3 linked regions of the Arabidopsis thaliana genome follow. Each later gene encodes a partner of the first gene's protein in a complex. Each region holds a gene or a part of one and is shown in the gene's direction. Other genes may lie near its edges.

Region 1 (8,382 bases):
CTCCTTCATTACCAACTCTCCGAAGCTCGTTACTGAAAACATGTCTTTTCTCTGGAGATGCCTGCCATAACATTTCACCAAACAATAATTGAACCATTATATCTAACATAGTAACTTACAAGCCAAGTACATCAACTTTTTATAATGCTGAAAACCTGATATATATAAAGAGCTAAATTTATTTTAGAAAACTAAATATGAGGACCTAAAAGCTATTTTATCTCATTAAGTACCTTTTCATTAATATGTTTTTGAAAAGGGCCTACAATTACAACTTTTAGATTTCTTCACACATGTATGCTATAACAGTTATGACACCTATAACAAAACGGATTAGACATTTTTTCCCCCGGTTATTCAATTCATGTGCCATCATCTTTTCTTTTCTTCACATGCTAGACATTTATGACGATACACACTCAACGAGTTATGTATACTCTTCTATTAATCATTCACCTTAGTAGCAAAATGGAGCAGAGTAATAACTAATAACACAAAACAAATTGTTTAATGAATTAGTTTAACAAGGAACCTGTATTTCTGAAAGAATGCATCCATGCATTGCCATGACTGTGAACGCGCAATGCCTCACTGCACCACTAAGTTTGACATAGTTTTTCCAAGGATGGTTAAACGTTTTGTAAGGTCCATGTGGAGGCTCCCATATAGCGAAATCAAGCTGCGAAAACAGAGCTCTTTTAATGCTATAGGTATCACCATAATCCGGATTTTAAAGATGTGTCTCCACGATGCGTAAAACATACCAAAGAATCTTCTTGGCTTGTAGATTGAACAGCGGATCTGTACCCGCTGTATAATGGATCATCTGAAGCTTGGTACGTGAGTATCTTCGACGGTATTCTCTCGTATTCGACACATTGCAAGTAACCATTAACACATCCTAAGGATAAATACAAAAACCTGAAATAAGGGACATTGAAATAATAAGCTAACCATGTTATAACAGATTATGTTTTATCTAACCTTCTAGGGAATTTGCAACATTCTTGAAGTTTTTAGCCACCAGTTTATGGAGATCTTCTCCGGCCCATATCGGAAATAAAAATACATTCACAAGCAAACAAATGGTTGCACCAAGACCAATAAGCAAAATCCTGTAATAAGCAGTGCTTAAGAAGTCTCTTGAGTTGTTCCCGGAAACAAGAACGATACAATATGTCAACTTGAACACTCTGAATGCGTATTCGTATGGTTTCATGGACGCGTATAGTTTCAAATAACTAGCACCAAAACCTGACATAGACAAAGAAAAATTAAATGTTAGTATCCTCATTGTGTGTAATGAAATTGTGGCGATATAAATGTTGCAAACCTGCAAGGAATATGCAGATTACGATGATGACTTCTTCAAACTCTCCTGCTAAAACAGAGAGCTGCGCGACGCCGAGAGCAAGTCCTCCAGCTAACATTGTGCCTAATGCTCTATTGAATCCTTTAACCAAAGTTGCTCCTGAAAATTGAACATAAGAGTGACTCAATAAGTATGAGAATAATTGATCTGAAAATGTAAATAAAACAGTAAAATGCAAAGTCAATAAGTAAATCTGAACAGAGAAAATAGAAAAAATCTTTGAATCCACTTATACAAAAAGATGGATTATACAATCAACCAATTGATGTCTTTAGTTCCATCAAATGGATTCCATAAACAGAAAACTCGAAAACAGTGAAAAATATTCAATCCAAGTAACAAACAAGCAAAGAAAGTATAAGAGTTGGTCTGAAAATGTGAATAATACAGTAAAATGTAACTCAATAAGTAAATCCGAACCCATCAAAATGAAAGATGGAATCCAAAAAAAGGAACAGTCTTAGGATTAAAAGAATCTTTACTAGATTTGCTTCACATGCGCAAGTGTCTTGAGTTCAAGATTCCAACAAAACATAAAAACAAAACTCAAAGATCCAATCAAAGGATCATAAACTAGGCTATGAGTTAAGAATCAATACCGACGTAATACTCGAAAATGAGAACGACGGTGAGAATCGCCCAAACTGCGAATTTACTAGCATCTTGAAGCGGCTCTTTGAGAAAGATGACGAAAGAACAGAGTGCCAAAGCAATTCCCATCTTGATGGAGAAGTAAAGTTTCCTACGATCAGAATGTCCCAGCGCGTACAACTTCGCCGGAGCCTCGTAGAGAGCCCTCCACGAGCAACACCGGAACTTGGAGTCACGGCTATCAGCGACGTCGCTTGACTGCCAGAGAAGCTTCTCTGTGTTTTGCTCCGGTACTGATCCCATTTTACCTCCCATTAGAAATGATTCTGACAATTCTACAGAACCTGAGAGATTCTTGTCGTCCTTACGAATAGAAAGATGTTTATTTATCTATTTATCAAGATTTGTTTTGTACTACGCAATTAATGCATGCCTTCGATTCATCATCTCTAAATAATCAAGTTTTTTTAAAAAATTTACAATTTGGTGCATCTACATTACAAATTTTAATAATTGTCCGATTTATAACTTTGATGTTTTTGGTTGAAATCTAATCATTAACATATTAACCACCAAAAGTGTCCAAATTTTTTGAAACAGATGGAATTTAAAACGTGAGAATTTACATTTGTGGACCAGTAATGCATAAATGGACCGGTAAGGCCGTAATATGATTTTTTGTGACTATTAGTTATTCAGTAAAAAAATTAAAAATAGAATTATATTATTTCTTAATTTCTGTTCAATGTGTTAATGTTTCTTAAACTGTAGACTTTACCTTTTTGGCTCAGCTACATAATATTTTTTCATAGTTACCCGATTTAGTAAGTTTTTTTGTTGAATCTAAACATCAACATAATTCATTGTGACCAGTAAAAGTGTCGCAGAAATAACAACAGATATCTATGGATAAACAACCTGAGAATTAACTATAGTGGACGTGTGTAATGTAAATGGACCAATAATGTGACGGTGAACAAATTTACACACATATCTTAAAGTCTCTTCAAGTTCAAGACTCTAATAATTGAATTACAGACCCACAGTTTTGGAGAAGTTGCAAGTATCAAAGAGACGACAAGTTTCATGGTCGTGACTTGTGTGAATGTGACATTTTGAAACTCCTACTTACTACCGCATCGCATCTTACTACTTCCTAACTATGCTCAAAAGCCAAGCCCTACCCTACACAGTGTACCCACCCTCACATGAGATTTTTCCTACTTTTTTTTGAGAAACAACAATTATTTATGTATTTTGGGTGAGTTTGATTGTTTTATCCAATTATTGTATGCTGAAAATAAAAAATATCGTGTGCACATTATATAATAACTACGATGTAAGAAGTATTTCAAACTTTTACTATATATACTCATCGAATGATGTTCATGAATGACCATCATGGTGTCTTTCTCCTTAAAGGCTTTCTCATCTCATCTATCCAGTGCTACTTCAAGTCCAAAGAAAGACTCTTCTTTGGCCTCAGCAAACCTGTGAAAATAAAGAAGACGATTTTTTAAGATGAATCATGTGACATAATGTAAAAAGAATCATGTGACATATATAATGTAAAGGCCACTTTCTCAACAATTATTTGTTTTTGATAAATAAATAAAACAAATTGAGGACATCTTGCAGCGTACAATATCGATAATTATATTTTGTTAAAAATTGTGTTTTGATTAATACAAAAATTTATTTCACACAAAAAAATTTATTGACTTTGATCAAATCATGAACACTAAACAAAGATGAGGTTTTTAATTTTTGTATAAATACTTGTGGCTGTCAAATGTCATTCGAATTAAATATGATATGATTAATACTTATATGTTGAGATCTTTGAATTAGTCCCTCGAAAATACTTGAAACAGAGTCTGTATTTTTAAAAGTCTACTTCTCAAAGCTTCAGGTTTGTATTCATGGGCTTATAATAAACTCTGTATTCTTGACCCATTTAATGATGGGCCAAGTCAACAAAGCCCATAAATTTGATAGTCAAACTACTTTGAAACTCCACCCAAAAATGTGACCATATCTTCCTTATCCATATTCTCACAAAATCTCCATTGTTCTCTGAGAAAACACAAAAATGATGTCATCAATGGCACTCTCTTCTACTTCCCTCTGCTCTTCTTTCATCTCTCAACATCCAAAACTCTCCATCACTGCTTCTCCTCCATTGTTCCATACCCAAACAACCAAACCCATCTCTGTAAAACGGAAAATCATAACTCTAGCAGCTCCAGAGACACTCACCGCTGAAACAGTCACCGGAATTGATACTTCCGACAACACTCCACAACAAACAATAAAGGTAAAAACAACATATTCTTCTTCATCTTCTTGTCTCTTGTGTTACAAAACCCACAAATCTTTGTTGTTTGTGTTAGGTGGTGAAGCCAGATGAGAAATCAAGAGTGGTACTCAAGTTTGTGTGGATGGAGAAGAACATAGGATTAGGATTGGACCAACATGTACCTGGACATGGCACAATCCCACTTAGTCCTTACTTCTTCTGGCCTAGGAAAGATGCTTGGGAAGAGCTTAAGTCTACTCTTGAAGCTAAACCATGGATCTCTCAGAAGAAGATGATCATTCTTCTAAACCAAGCCACTGATATCATCAATCTCTGGCAACAAAGTGGCGGCAATTTAACTTCTCAATAATCTCTTTTTTGATTTCTGCATTTCAAGAATTCACTTTGTCTATGATTATTATTGCTATTGAGAGTTTTTTGTTTATCTAAACAATATCCAATCACATTCGACATAAAAGATTCATTTTATTGGAAAGAGAAAATGATAATAAAAGCAAACATCAAGCAACTCTGAGTTATTGTTTCCTTGAAGGACATATCAAACGCTTGATGGTTGAGATTTTGCAGAGAAGAGCTTCACCATAGGATTTAGAGACTCTCCGGTCACCGGAATATGTACACGTTAGTGTCACTTTCTTCTCCAACACACTCACCAATATTGAATATGTTTCTGCTCCAAGAAAACAGAGGAAACAAGCGTGAGAGGAAAGAACAAAAAAGTGTCTCATCTCGGAAGTAAGTAAGCTATATACTCACCGATCATCCTCGCCATTATGTCGGCGACTTTCTCTTGGCAGTCACTACATCTGATGTCTGCTGATAGAACAATCTCCTGAATCTGATAACACACAAGATCAATTAAAAGAATCCACAGAGTTGAATCATTCTAAGACAAAAGTGTTAAGAGAGTAACGAACAAGTGGCATGGATAACGATGCGACAGAAGCGAGACTGGTTTCACTTGTTCTTGAAAGCTTGCTTCTTAGTGATGGTTCAAGTTCCTCCTCGACGATTTGAGACAGAGTAGCCATGACACTCTCGTTGCACAGAGAAGATAGATAAAACAGGAAATGAAGAATCCTATAGAAACAGTCTCTTGTACAAGGAAAGATAAGTAAAACAAAAATCTAGAATCCTAAAGAAACCACCAAACCAAGAGTGGGAAACGAAGAGTGTCGCTATCCGAAAAGGATGAGTTAGCAAAACTAGTGACAGAGGAAGCCCATCTTTGCTTTTGCTTTAATCTTTGGAGAAAACTAAGTTTAGAGACTCAAGAGACATGTTAACACACAATAGAGATATAATATATGCTTTGGATCCATGACTTAGTGTCCATTAATCTGAGTAAGAAAGTCAAGTTCTTTTGGCTCCTCTTTATTTCCTCTACATTGTTTGAAAAAGATGCTTCACTCACCAAAATGCAACCCCACCAAAATCATTCAAGTTGGAGGATTCTGACTTGGTCTTAAACGAATTTAAATAGCTTACCTTTTTCACCTTACCCTACCTTTTGGTAAGCCAATCATCTATAGCACAACAAGAGATGATAATAGGTAAAAGTTTAAAATGGTGTAAGATAAGACACTCAACTTTCATCACTGTTAGTGGTTTATAACAAGCGCTCTTACTATGGATAACAAAACTTGTTGGACGATTCCAGAAAACATCAATTGTTACCAGCTAGTTACAACTAACAACCAAAGAGCATCAATTTTATTTGTTGGTCCCCTTTGGAATGCTGCACAAAACAAAACCCTATGGGCACATGGACATGGACATACTTAACTTACGTGCCATTAAGATAATCAAGTGTCCTCAACTTCGAGTATCAAATTATGCAGAAGCTATTCATAACATTCAACAAGTAAGAAAGGTACGTATCATATAGACAATGAAGTTGAGATCAAGGTAACAAGATAATTTTATTTAATGTTACATAGGTTACATGAAAAGAAAGATCCCACCAGACCAAAAAGAAAACGAATCATCTCTATGCTAAAGAGAGTAAAATGATAACTTAATTCTAAGAGAAAAACACTGATTAAGCCTAAAACACTAGCGAGGTAATGTTATTATTACCTACTTCTACTGCATCCAAAATTTTGCTGATTGAATTAAAGCACTATGCCCTACTGTCACAACATAAGTACACAAACGAATTTGGATGCCATTACGAGCTAATCCTATAATCCATCCCAAGAAAGCTTGCGAGTTACCAGTAATCTTAAAACCCAAAATCGCATTGAGCAGATGCCCATCAGGGTAATATGTACCTCACAAGAAGAAAAGTAACTAGGTCCAAGCTGATGATCATCTCGACATTAATAGACCTGTCAAATGCTGTCCATCTGAAGAGCCAAAAGTATCTTCCATGAACTTACAGTTCTCACAATCCAAAGATCTTTCACTAGAGAAACCATCATTCAAGCTAGGATCGTGTGGACAGCAACTGACAACTCGATTCCGCTTCCTCGATGATTTTTTCCACTTTAAGTCAGAAGTGACTAGGACATCTTTTAGAAGATCTGGAATTGGTCGCTTAGGTAGTGACTTTTTGGTTGTAGCTACTGGAAGAGAGATGGTGCGTTTAGCCTCAGTCTTTGGTGACATCCTACCATTACAAACACCAACATCAGACGACTTCTCATCATGTTTCACCTCCATCTCTTTTTTCTTCGTCAAAGATAGGACAGAACTCACAATATCAGATCTTGATCTTATGTTTAGCCACTCATCATCCAACCATTCCCGAGATTGTCTGAGGTCATTACGATGGAAAGCAGACATTTTCTTTTCGCCTGAGAGAAAACAGCCAAAACAACAATAATTAGTCACACAAAATAGTATATAGATAGATCTTCAACTGCAATAAAAATTTGCATTCAGAGGTGTCTTAACTCACCTGGCAAGTAAACTTCAAATTTCTCTTCAGAAACTTCCTGCACCACGATCCCTTCCCACCATCCATCACACCACCACACATCCACAGGCATACCAACCCCGATGACACATACATCATTTTCTTTGCTGGGCTTCAGCATTGGTCTTACTACTTTCCGTCCTTTGATTCTAAGATCCCCCAGATGATCACCAGCAGCAACCCGAGATGTCAAAATCCATTCCTGCAACAAAAACATGTTATCAAACTGGGCAGTAGGTACGAAACCAAAGCAAGGGTTTTAAAATGTGTACCTCTAGCTTTTTAGATTCATCGTCTGCATCCTGAATATCTTGGTACTGGACCTTAACCTTATCTTTGTGTTTCTTTAATACCAGAGCCTTAAACCAACAACCTCTGATGCCACTATCTTCAGAAAGAACTTCAATAAGTGAACCCTTTTTAATGTGATGGGAAGAACCATCTTCGTCACCCTTGAATATAGAAGCATCTGTAACAGCCAAAACAGAATCTGGACTAGATTTGCAGTCACCTTTCATGTCACCTGCGTATGATACATTCAAAGTACCAACAGGACTAGGACGGCGTCTTTTCCTTGATCTAATCCCAACACAACCAACCAATGGAGCTTTTAATCCTGGGTCAGTACCAGGGGCTTGAGCACCTTCAAATGATTTTAAAATAGATACATTCAAGTATCTAAGCATTTCTTGTCTCCAGTAACCTTCTAGTTGTGTAATGTCATACGGCTTTAAACCATCATCTCCATATAATTTCTGGCAGAAGAAAGCTACTGTCTGAACATGCATCGGCACCTTAAGAAATTTCTCATAATGCTGAGGACTAAGGACAGTAGCCAAGTAATCTATGCACTCAATACTGATATCTTGCCGATTAAGAGAAAAAAATATCTCTCTGTCATTATCATCATCAGATAAAACAGAACCAACCTCCTCAGTTTTGTGAAACCATCGTACCACAACCATCTTCTTGCCTTTAGAATCCTCATAAAGGTCTTCTATATATGCAACAAGTCTCTTATGTTGCTCCGCTAAAACATACACAAAATCATTCACCTACAATTAATTTATGAAAACAGAAAGGTCAGCTTTAACACAAGGAAAAGTAATAGCAAATCACACCAGCTTACTTCAATTAAAACATAAGAATAAACTCACAGATATTCTGACACCATTCCGG
Region 2 (5,394 bases), on another chromosome or scaffold:
CCAAGTGTTACCAATGTAAACCAGCTGCAGCCGCCGCACATGCCCCGGTCTCCGCTTTACACCACCGTCTTTGAGAGATCGAGTCAGGGTTCTTCTAATGCGTTTGTGGAGGGTTCTTAAAATTATTTGTTCTTCTTTTGTGTTTTGTGTTCGTATACGTGAAGGGAGTAAAAGTCACGAAAATAGTGTACTTTTTACACACCCCTTTAAATGCGTGCTAAGCTCTTAATTATTTTTTTCTCTTTTGGGGTTTTGTATTTTTGTTTTCACTCCTTAGTTTTTTTTTTAAAATTGAATAGTCGATAATATGTAGTGTGTGATTTCTTAATTTGGTATTGTTAAAACAATAGGCTAAGAAAATGTATCGTCTTCTCTCCTTTTACTTGTCTTTAGTAACAAAAAACAATTCTTATCTTATACATTTATCCTAATTAGACTTATATAAACTATTTTACCATGAACAATATCTTCCGATACTAGATAATTCTTTAGGATCCTATTAGATCTTTTAATTATACAGTTTTGATCATAGCACAGCGACAATACTACTAAGTTTACATTAAAATTTTGAAATAACACTTTAATTTATTTGGAAAATTTGATTTAACGGCAGGGTGTGTTTAAAAATTAAATAGGGGAACATGGACAAGTTGGACCGACGGAGCCGGTCATATATCCTATGGGCCACATGGGTGTGGGGAGAGGACGCACGTGGATACTTCGTCCGAGTCACGTGCCATTATTTACTTGACACTCTTCATCTTCTCTCTGATCAAAAGAATGGATCAGAGGACCGTTCCTGTCCCTCATATTAAATATGGCATGTGTTCGTTCCATTCGTACTCAATCGTTTACCCCTTATCATATGCTCTGCTTTCACATGTACTTTGCCCCCAAAGATTATAACTATATATGTAAAATTATTAACTAATATTCTCGTTTGAATCCAGAGTCCGATTCTTGTACTTTCCATCTGACTTTTTTTTTGTTGGGGGTCAAAATAAAAAAGAACTTTGCAAAAATGTTTCTTCTAATAGCATAAAATCGTTAAAGAGAAAAGAAGAAGTGAATGTGAGTCATATTATGCGATATGGAGTAGGACCCTTGGTAACGTTTGGTTAGTGACCCTTGGTAACGAGTGGGTTCAAATTGTCAATAAACTATTATGTGGCGAGTGGTGAATCGTCTTTAATTTGTTCTGATTTAGGCCATGTGAGTTTTGCAACTACATTTGAGGCTTTTCTTCTTCTTTATATTAGACTTTTTTTTTTTTGTAAAGTGGACTATCTGGATACAAAAAAAATCTCGGCTAACATGGATAAATCTAAGATGGTTGTGTTTGTGAAAAGAAAATTGTTTTATAGTAAAATACGGTATGCAATAAAAGTATTTCATAAAATATCTCATACCAATTATTCAAGCATGTCTTTTCATAACATTTGACTGGCATCTTTCTCTCCTTTGGCCTTAAATCAATTTTTTGTCATCTTGGATTTCTTTTGAGGTATATAGAGCTGTTTGAAAATTTTGATGGCTGAAAATCACTTCACATCTCGATTTCTATATCATCCACTTAACTCGAAGTCAGGAGTAGCCTGAGACGATTAGGTTAAGTTAAGTGGTTATATGAATTTGTAACAACATTTAGATCTTTGTTTCCAATCATCAACCAAGTTTGAGAGACCTTAAAAACGTATATACGCACACCACAAAGTGATATGAATATGCTAAATTGTTTCTGTAGACACACAAGACCGTTGAAACGTCCAGATTAATCGCTTACTCCAGTCGAGAATACTTCATAAACATGGGACTAGAATTGTACCAACACATAATATTTCTTCATACGAAAGAGAACATAGTCTTAGCATGTTCAGGATTTAGAATACATTGAAGAAACACACATCTTCGTTCATGGCCTTAAGGTACACGAGGCCTAGGAAAGGTCTCATACTCTTGTTGGGTTTGAACTTGAGAAGGTATTTGAGGTACACGAGGCTTAGGGAACAAGAGCTTCAGGCGAAAAGCATCCATCCCATTCAAGTAATAGTGGTATAGCCGTTTGGCTCTTATAAACCCGAGTCGCCCATATAGTGCTAATGCTCCTTTGTTACTCACTTCTGCCTCCAGAGTTACCTTCAGCCATACATCTTTACATTAATTAGATTGCATAACCAGACAACCATACTCTCATGTTGTAATCAGGCTTGATTATGAGGAACTTGAAGAGCAAATGCCAATCACGAGGTTCTTTTTCCAATCTATTTACTACTGAGATTACAGTTAAGAGATCACACATACAACAGAAAATGATTCGTCGAATACGCAATTAGTAAGTGGGAGACAGGGATTTCTTATTTTATATTACTATCAGTTACATTCCAATGCGTGTGACTATAAAGAGTCATGGACTACATACAAGACTTATACAACATATGTATACTAAGTGAGAGACTGGGATTTTGATTTCCACTACAAAATTAGTAACTAAACGAATATCGAAAAGTTCCAACTCTTAGGAGTATGATTAACTACTTTTATACGTGGAACTAAACTTACACACACAGTTAGCTAAACAATCAAAAGCAATAGGTATACTTGCAATGATTAAAGGCAGCTACATCACCTCAGCTATGAAATTCTATTCTAGTAGATAAAAAGGAGGCACTATTTCAGGACATGTAATGGACTTATAACCTTCCGGAAAAGGTGGTTCATAAGGTCTTATCTACATTTATACTACCAGGAAAGGATATCACTCTAGTGCTACCAAATATCTAAGTTCTCCAAAGTGGGAATAAAGAGAGAAGTGAGAATGCAAGAACAGCATACCTCTTCACAGCCTGATTCCATCATCGCTTTTATCGCTCTTGTGACAAGCTCTGAGGCTGTAAAAAAACAATGACAAGTCAGCACACAAAATTATCGAACCTTAAGAGAGGCATGTATTTGCAGTAGATCAAACACTACTCCCACAGTCAAAATCTGATTCTGTAAGAAGTTAGGAAGCACTAGCTCAAGTATTACCTATGCCTCGGCCACGATATGGTTTAATCACAACCAACATAGCGATGTACCCTCTGAAAGTCTGTCGATGATCCCCCATCTTACAGACTATGGTTCCTACGCATTTACCTTTGTGAAAGGCCTATTAAAAGAAACAAAACAAATGCTACTCATAAATCCATCAAAACATAAGTATCATGAGGGTAAAGCAACGATAATCGAAAGCTGAGTGTCAAAATACCAGGAAGCATAGCTGCGGCCAGAGGTAGACGAAGTACCGGTAAGTAAAGATGGAGTAAGGTTCACTAAGTTCTTGGTCAACAAGAGACATAATCAATGGCAGATGATGCTCACCAGCATAACTCGTGTACTCAATCTCACCCTCATCGAATTCTTCTTTATCTTCCATCTCTTTCTCCATTGCAAGAAGTGATCAAGATCCCGAATTGTATACTTACAAAGAGAAATATGAACTTCTGATCAGTTGTTTATACATTGATGATCTTGTTCCTATAGGAAGTGATGAAACACATAATGCAAAGTTAGAGAATATAAATCATTTTCTGTGAATCGAAGTTGAGTGATTGTTTCAGAATTGAAAGTTCAATGTTTTCATAACAAACTCAGATTGCTCAAAGCCTCAAATAAACAGCTGAAGCAGAATCTATAACACTCTACTAAAGCAAACGACTTTGGCTAAAGCGAGCTATAGAAGATTTGAGAGTTCAGAAAAAAGAGAGCTTACCGATGTTATGTGACAATAGGATTAGTAAAGAATCCTGTGAAGCATAAGAATGAAAAAAACACACACAGATTTTAAATACCAAGTAATGAGAGATTTAGAAAGAGATGTGATTATAAAAATTGAAACTTTTTAGAAACCCAAGATCAATGAGATGATAAGAATACTTACCAAAAGTTTGAGCTTTGTGAAATTCGAAGATCAAAAGTTACGATCTGGGTGATATCTGAAGAAAAAAGCTCCGAAGAGAAGACGAAGAAGAACAAGAACAAGAACAAGAACAAGAACAAGGTCGATTACACACGTGACAAGCATGTGTAGGGTTTAGATATATTTGGGCTTTAAAATAAGCCCAATTGAAATTAAAGCCCAAATATGAAAAGATAATTAAAAGCCTATCCTAAAATCGTTTTTCTACTCTCACTGCCTTATCTTCTTCTGGATCTTCTTCTTCGAACAAATTCGAAAACAGCACACGGCGATGGCGTCGCTTATACTCGGAGCTCCTCCGCGAGTCACCGTCGCATTACCTTCCTCACGGTTATCATCTTCTCACTCTGAAACTGCCGGTGTCTCTCTCTCTTGCTTCACTCATCAATTCTCTCTCTCCACTTCCTCATCCAGCTCAATTCCACTCGGTAATCTCCCTCTCTTATCTAACTCTCTCTTAATTCGTCAATGGCGTAACTTTTCCGGTGTTCGCAGTGTACTGTGGCAGAGGTGACCGGAAAACAGCTAAAGGAAAGCGTTTCAATCACTCTTTTGGGAATGTAAGTAATCAAATTTCTCTTTCCGATTTCGTAATTTTACTTTGCAAATTCGCAATTTTGGTTTTGAATTTGGGGTTTATGTAAGCAGGCGAGGCCAAGAAACAAGAGCAAAGGAAGAGGACCGGAGAGAGTACCGGTTCCTCCAGCACCACCGAGGAAAGATAAGTTTGAGAACGACGAGAAGATCAAAATCGATATCGACGAGTCTCTCTTCTCTAATTAGAAATATGAGATTCTTCACTTGTTGTCTCTCACTGTAATTTTAATTTGTTTTTTGAAAAGCTTTGATGCTACGACTCTTTTGTTGTTAAAAACATCTCCAAAGTTCTCATCTTTTTATGAAAAGTTTGCTTCTTTATGAATCATTGAGTCTTTTACATTGAAAAAGTAAAGCAAACTAAGAACGAGAATCTATATACTTAGATAGATCAGATGGATGAATCATCTGTCTCTGTTTGGATCTTTAAATGTGAGAGTTTGTGATGTTTCCGCAGACTGTGCAGTGAGTGGAGACGAGAGTGTGCATTACACTTCCTTCTTCAATCTTAATCTTCCTTGTGACTTTGTTCCACAGATGTATCATGTAACTCCCTTTGTTCATGTCCTGTACTGTCTTCTCTACCCATTTTGCTTCTCTTGTGGTTGCAGGTTTCTTGAAAAGCTTTTGGATTTTGATCCAGTTTACTGGATAGAAAGCATCGGGAGAAAAGATTGTGAGATTGTTGTATCCAGGTTTGTTTCCTAATCTCTTGATAACTCTAGAGACTAGGTAAGGGCTGTTGTATCCCCATTTGTTTCCGTCGAAAGTTGTGGCATACTCTTGCAAGAATTCTCGCATTAGCGGATGGTAGATGTCAAAGACCATCACTGCGTTGT
Region 3 (6,573 bases), on another chromosome or scaffold:
GTTAGTCAAAAATATAAACAAGAGAGCGTTGGATCAAGTAATGGGCATTACTTATAAATAATAAGAGGTGAGTTGGGAAGGGCAAAGATTCTCTCCTTTGACAGGTCACTTACAGGCTAAAAGACAAATAAATCCAAATTTAAAGCAAAACACTAGTAATAAGTGAAGCAGTAAATAATGATTGCGGAGACAATTAAAGAAAGATTTGGTGAGAAGTGTGTGAGGTTGTATTACAATAATTATGGACAAACTTCTTTTGAGCTTATGATTCATTACCTATCAAAGTTTGCACTAAAGCCATACTTAATTTAATAGGTGTAGATAAATTAAATGCAATCAACTAAGTACATATATGCATATGATGATATGAACATTGCATAATTATCTTTTGTTGTTTCTATAAAGACAGACTAATTATTTTATCGTAGATAATGGTGGCAACATGACTTTCATGAGTTAAAAAACTGAACCATAATGATTAATTATTTGTTTGCTTTATTGCAAAATTGTTATTTTAAGCTTATGATTACCATATGATATATGATATTACTTTAATTGGTAATTGAAGGAATTTCATTGATTGATTAAAAGTTTGGTTAAAAGAAACGATTTGAGATTTGTTTGGATTCATCGGTCCCCTCTTCAAAGCCTTGTGCTTATTCTGTCATCAAGGCATCTTCTCTTTTTCATTATTCTATTTGTAAATAATTTGTTCTTGTTAAAAACATTTTGAGGAACTCGACTTTTTACGTCATAATTTGTTAGTTTGCACTACACCGTCATGATTAGGCAACTTGCTTAATAAAGAAAGTCAAGTTTGAATTCATCTAGTCATGCTATTATATTTAAGTATTTTCAGTTAAATAAACAAAAACTCATCTAGTCAGCTGAATGCCAAAAGAACTGAACTAGCATCGTCAATGGTATACTATTAACGACGATTAGTATGTACATAAGATTATTAATTTTGACATCATTATACAAGATTTATAAGATTTTAATTTCCTTGAAATGTCCAAAACATTATCTTCACGTATTCTTATCGTGATGATATTTAAAAGAGTTATGTACTTATCAAAGTTAGAAAATTTACATACATATTAATTATCAGACAAACCCCTTATTTATTATAAATGTAAGTGAAAAAATATATTTATAAGCAAAGTGATTGATATTAGATGTCATTGGAAAACTACACTTGTTGGAACCATTTTCCCTCCAAATATGTTTACTATTGTATTTTGTTCCAAATATGTTAACTGCTGTATATGTGTAAATACTTAATAGCAAGAATATCTATTTTATATAGATTTCAGGGTTTAATCATATCGATTTCTTAGTTTGTTTATTAAAGTATTTTGAAATAAGGTTCTCATATTGAACTAATTAAGTTGCTTAGAAGAAATGAAGGTTAGGAACAATTTGCATTAAAATACTCCAAATACGGAGTGGGGTTTCGCGTTAATGCATGGAGGAATATTCGCCATGTACTTGAAGGTATGTGCATATATCCAAATAGGGATCAAATATTAGAAATCTATCTAATTATAGATCAATTCTGAAAGACATTAGGCTATATGTCCTAGTCTATTATAATGTTTAATTACCAACCTAAATTTAGAAATCTGTTAGGAAAACAAATTATATAACCAAATTGCATTAGTTTTTCCTTAATTGAATATTTAACCCTTCATGCCACACTCTTAATTAACACCCAAAGAAAAAAAAACCCGCCATGACTCATATATAATGTAATGTGATAAACAGATAATGTAAACATTACAATTTCCATTAAAGTACTATAGAAACCTAGGTAACCGATCGATTATTACTTATTAGACGTTAAAAGAAATTAGATATTTGATTTATAGTCGACGTGTATGTATATATATATACATACATCTTTCTTTTCCGTATAGCTTACATTATAGGTAGTCAACAAACTTACTATACTTCAATATATTTAACTTTTGTGTGGTACATCAAGAAAATAAAATTGCAGCTAACCAAATATTCGTTTTTGTTTTGGTGCACTGAACTGAACTAAAATTTAGAAAAATGTAATATAGAAGAGTATTGTTGTATATGAGAGGGACCTCGACAAAATCACAAAAACAATAAATAATACGTGAGAGACCGTTGGGAAAAAGAGTATATACGGAGCCTACGATGTGTAAGAAAAATTATTAATGCAAGGGACCAGAATCATATTTAGGCCCACTAAAAAGCACTGTCTCTTTAGGTCCAACTTAATCTTCATATAGTCACTAATTGGGCCTAAAAATTGTAACTGTAGTTATGGATAGCGTTACGTAGAATATTCGTTTAGCATATCAGTTTCTCCTTTCCATTCGTTAACTAATTTTTTCTTTGCAAACATACTGTATCTACCGTTTTATCAAATAATTTTCTTTTTATTATTTGTTTGTTTACTAGAATTACAGTTTTTTCAAACAGATAAATAATCATATTAATAATAACATTTGCTAAATTTAGTTAAAAGAATCATGGTGTTACTTTTTAAGTTTTACTGGTTTGCTTTCAAGTTTCAAGAATGATTGTATAGTACTTTCGGATGTTTGATCTTTAAAACTTGTTGGTACAGTTGGAATGCTTTATTGGAAATATCAAACTATCACCAACGCTAACATTTCTATTCTTTTTGAACTTCATCAAGAGCCAAAGCCCCTGATCGGCCTCACAAAAGACACCATTTTCTTTGGTCTCCGGCAACAGAACATGGATTGGAATCAATCCCTAATCAAACCGGGTCAATTTGGCTTAGTCAAGAAACGTCCCTCTTATGTAACAGCTGTTCCAGAACGGCAGAACATTCACGAACATATAAATGGGTGTCCACTAACAAATTCAAACACATAACCATGATCACTCTGTCCTTTTTTCCATTTTTTTAAATATTCAAGTAAACAACATGTAAATTATAACGAATTTAGGTCGTCTCAACATCATGACTCATTCACATGCGTTGACTTTTAACCCACTAAACATTTTTTATAGGACCCCTCTCTCTCTCTATAAATTCGACCCCCTTTGTTGATAGATCATACAGAGAACAACAAAGAAAGAAACCAAATAAGAAGAAAAAGGAGAAGAACATTCAAATGGCACCAAGAAGTTCTTTGATCCGCTTCGCCTTCATCTGCATTGTCTTGGCCGTGATGGTCATGACTGCTGAGTCGCACAACGGAACCCACCACCATGGTCCGGCTATGGCTCCAATGCCACCCATGGCTAAGGCTCCGTCTCCAAGTGCCGCCACTTTCTCCGCCTACCCTCAGCTCATCGCCACCGCATTGGTCGCTGCTATGTCTTTCGTCTTCTGATGAGATGTGTTGCCATTCATCTTCAGAATATGTTTTACTCTCTATGAGATTTTATTTTAATTTTCACATGTATTCCTTCTTTTTTTGTTAATTCTTCAAAGATTGTGATGTTGTGTTCCTATCATAATAAAACATTTATCTCTTGATGTTTTTTTTATTATCTTAATCATATTTTCCTCTTTTTCGAACCAAATCTTCTAATCAAGGCATTATAATGGCCCGTTTGAGAAAAGGTGGACTTTCTTTTTAAAATCAACTAATTCATCTTAAGGTTATAGAATAGATAAATATCCGAAGTAAATATATAAAATAAATTGGGTCAGCCTAAACAAAATAATGAAATGCAGGCCTTACGTGACAGTAATGGGTACGCCTCAACAAATAATGGTGTATTCACTATTCAGACGTTGGTGTCAAAATCAATGAGTGATATCCTTATTAGAAGAACGACAAGCTTTAAACTAGTTTCATGTGTAAAGTACGAAACAATAAACATCATGAAAACACTCGAAATATTGTAGTAAACTTGCCAACAAAACCATGAGTACAAGTGTACAACTCCAATGAATCAGATATATATGCAAGATGGAAAAAATCCCCAAACACCTTAAAATACAACAACATGTGACAATAACGAAGTGAACGACCATCTCGATAAATAGTTAACAAGACTCATTCTCATCCGTTGACTTTTCATCTATACACTTACCATTTTTTTTATACAATCTTTTTCTATCATGACTCTATCCTCAATAGCTACGTGCCCACATGGAGCCAAGGCTCATGCCTTTCGTCTTCTGATCAAATGTGTGTCATTGATCACACCATTCATCTTAGTTGTTAAGAAAATATCTGTAAATCATTTTTTTTTTCATTTTATAGTTGTATCACTTTATTATAGTCCACTCGGTTTTTGCATTTTTGTTATAGTCCACTAGTTGGGCCGTGTTATACAATAGCGAGCCTATCTCAACAAAAAACAAAGCCCAACAAGTATTTATTTTGCCAGTTTTGTAAGCAATTAATTGAATAGAGTAAGTAGAGACGGAGCAAAAACAAGAGAAGCGTTTGGATTCGACGTTTGCCTTATCCGTTCAGCTCATCTTCTTCTTCTTCTTCGTCACCTCTGAATTAGTTTCCCAGAATCCGAAATTCCTAGGAAGAGAACATAACAATGGCGCAGATGGTTGCGATGCCCGTAGCGCACTCGCTCTCACTCATTTGCAATTGGGCAAAATCCAATCCTCTCTCTCGCAACACTCTTGCCCTCCCAGCTTCAAACACTCCCAATGTAATCATTTCTCTTGGACTCTCTCTTGCGTATGATGTTGTAATTTATCGAGCTTGACTTCATGTTTTTTTATGTGTTACTTCATTCTTGTTCGTCAATTTTTGGGTTAGGGGTGGTTATAGAACACTCCATCAATTTTTGGGGGAATTTGTCTCTGTGTTTTTAAAGTTTTTTTTTTTTTTTGTAATGAAATGCAGAAGCAGAGTCTAAGCATCAGATGTGCTCGTGTTGGTGGAGTGGAGATTCCGGCTAATAAGAGAATTGAGTACTCTCTTCAGTACATTCATGGGATTGGTCGAACTAGGGCTCGTCAGATTCTTGTTGATCTTCAGATGGAGAACAAGATTACTAAAGACATGGCTGAGGAAGAACTCATCATTCTTCGTGATGAAGTCTCCAAGTACATGATTGAGGGTGATCTGGTAATACACTTTCCCTTACATTTACACACTTTAGGACATGAGTAATGTGCATCATAGTTTCAGTTTCTGTCAGTCCATTCTCGAGCAGTTTCTTGAAGATTGGAGAAGAACTTAGGCTGCTATCTATTTGGTGTTTTCATTGCTTTAGTTTGGGTTTCCTCTTGTTTTGATTTGGTTCTTAGGCCTTTGTGAATGAATTATTGATTTGTGTTGTGGATGTTGTGCAGAGGAGGTTCAATGCTCTTGCAATCAAGAGGTTGAAGGAGATCCAGTGTTACCGTGGGGTAAGGCACATCCAAGGGCTGCCATGTCGGGGACAGAGAACCAAGAACAACTGCAGGACTCTTAAAGGCAAGAAAATTGCTATTGCAGGGAAGAAGAAAGTTTCCAAGTAATCATCTTCATGATCTCCTTCTTCTTCTGTAATACTCTTTTTAGTTTGTCTAGTCATCTCTGTTTAAATGTGATTTGTAATTCCCAAACCTTTGTTCGAACTGAGCCCTTTCCAGTTTATCTTCGGCTTTTTAGCTATTATTATTCCGTATCTTCATCATTCATTATAAAGTTACAAAAGAAGTTGAAGATTTCAGCATTCAAGAATGATGACAAACCAAGAACAAACTTGAAAATTTGGTCGAACCAAAAATGGTTTATTCAGAATACGTACATATGAATACATAAGTAACCAAAAAATAAAATTTTATAGCTTTTGCCAAAAGACTCGATCTTGGATTGTCTCTAATCCTACCCAGAAAATCTTGCTATCACACAAAAAAAAGGAAGAAAATGAATAATAACAGGGTAAAAATTTTCAGTAAGAGAACTCATGGCCGCGGAGTGAAATGTATTTCTTGACCCAAATGGCAATATCTTCGGCGCAGGCCTGTGCCTGAGGAGTCTTGAGAAGCATATCAAGTGTAGCAAACTCATGAACTGCGTCTTTGTATTCTAAAACTGGAGAATCTACGTTTACCTTTCTAAGCTCTTCTGAATAAGCAATGGCTCGGTCTCTCATCCAGTCATGCTCAGCTACTACTGTAAGTGTTGGAGGCATTAGCTTCAGAGGTGGTCCACTGCGGTTATGGGCAAGTGGGTTTGCTGCCGGGTGGTCAAAGTCGAACTCTTTCTCTGGTAAGAAGAGTTTCCAGGCTAGAACAGAGACAGGCTTATCGTAGAAGTAAGAGTTTGCCAGCTTTATTTCGGACTGTGTTGGGTTGTTTCCAATGAAAAAGGGGTACATTAGAACCTGTGCAACAACTTTCACCGGTTCTAGAAGTTTCCCAGCTTCCACTGCTTTCCGAGCTACATAGTCTGCTATGTTCCCACCACAGCTCACCCCGAGAAGAACACATCTGTTTTAACATCATATGAAGCAACAGGTTGAGACACAGAAGTTGATGTGAGATTGCAATCAATGGAAGATAAGCTATCTTAGTTCATCTAACTAGTTGTCCAAAGAATCCTGACTTTGTACCAAGTTACTCCTAGATCAACATGAAACTATTCTTAAGATCTT

The links.
Region 2: PSRP3/1 (region 1) and PSRP4 share a complex: the UniProt entries of both Arabidopsis thaliana proteins name them as parts of the 30S ribosomal subunit.
Region 3: PSRP3/1 (region 1) and EMB3137 share a complex: the UniProt entries of both Arabidopsis thaliana proteins name them as parts of the 30S ribosomal subunit.

The regions. Positions count from the first base shown.
Region 1 is NC_003070.9:25,753,843-25,762,224, reverse strand, and holds PSRP3/1 (Ribosomal protein PSRP-3/Ycf65), read left to right. Parts: upstream 1-3,813; 5' UTR 3,814-4,055; coding exon 4,056-4,280; intron 4,281-4,356; coding exon 4,357-4,632; 3' UTR 4,633-4,798; downstream 4,799-8,382. Other genes in the region: AT1G68600 (aluminum activated malate transporter family protein), read right to left, coding at 1-61, 533-679, 765-901, 985-1,254, 1,334-1,471, 1,972-2,278; AT1G68585 (uncharacterized protein), read right to left, coding at 4,799-4,953, 5,040-5,121, 5,201-5,314; AT1G68580 (Agenet and bromo-adjacent homology (BAH) domain-containing protein), read right to left, coding at 6,594-7,081, 7,186-7,405, 7,476-8,258, 8,361-8,382. UniProt on the Arabidopsis thaliana protein: Component of the chloroplast ribosome (chloro-ribosome), a dedicated translation machinery responsible for the synthesis of chloroplast genome-encoded proteins, including proteins of the transcription and translation machinery and components of the photosynthetic apparatus.
Region 2 is NC_003071.7:15,976,719-15,982,112, forward strand, and holds PSRP4 (plastid-specific ribosomal protein 4), read left to right. Parts: upstream 1-4,129; 5' UTR 4,130-4,229; coding exon 4,230-4,386; intron 4,387-4,453; coding exon 4,454-4,518; intron 4,519-4,606; coding exon 4,607-4,741; 3' UTR 4,742-4,894; downstream 4,895-5,394. Other genes in the region: AUX1 (Transmembrane amino acid transporter family protein), read left to right, coding at 1-74; ATMAK3 (Acyl-CoA N-acyltransferases (NAT) superfamily protein), read right to left, coding at 1,921-2,136, 2,833-2,888, 3,028-3,148, 3,248-3,427; AT2G38150 (alpha 1,4-glycosyltransferase family protein), read right to left, coding at 4,982-5,394.
Region 3 is NC_003076.8:4,616,718-4,623,290, reverse strand, and holds EMB3137 (Ribosomal protein S13/S18 family), read left to right. Parts: upstream 1-4,309; 5' UTR 4,310-4,518; coding exon 4,519-4,635; intron 4,636-4,832; coding exon 4,833-5,057; coding exon of another isoform or gene 5,058-5,102; exon of another isoform or gene 5,103-5,284; coding exon 5,285-5,452; 3' UTR 5,453-5,868; downstream 5,869-6,573. Other genes in the region: AT5G14330 (uncharacterized protein), read left to right, coding at 2,740-2,852, 3,071-3,344; CXE16 (carboxyesterase 16), read right to left, coding at 5,869-6,409. UniProt on the Arabidopsis thaliana protein: Located at the top of the head of the 30S subunit, it contacts several helices of the 16S rRNA.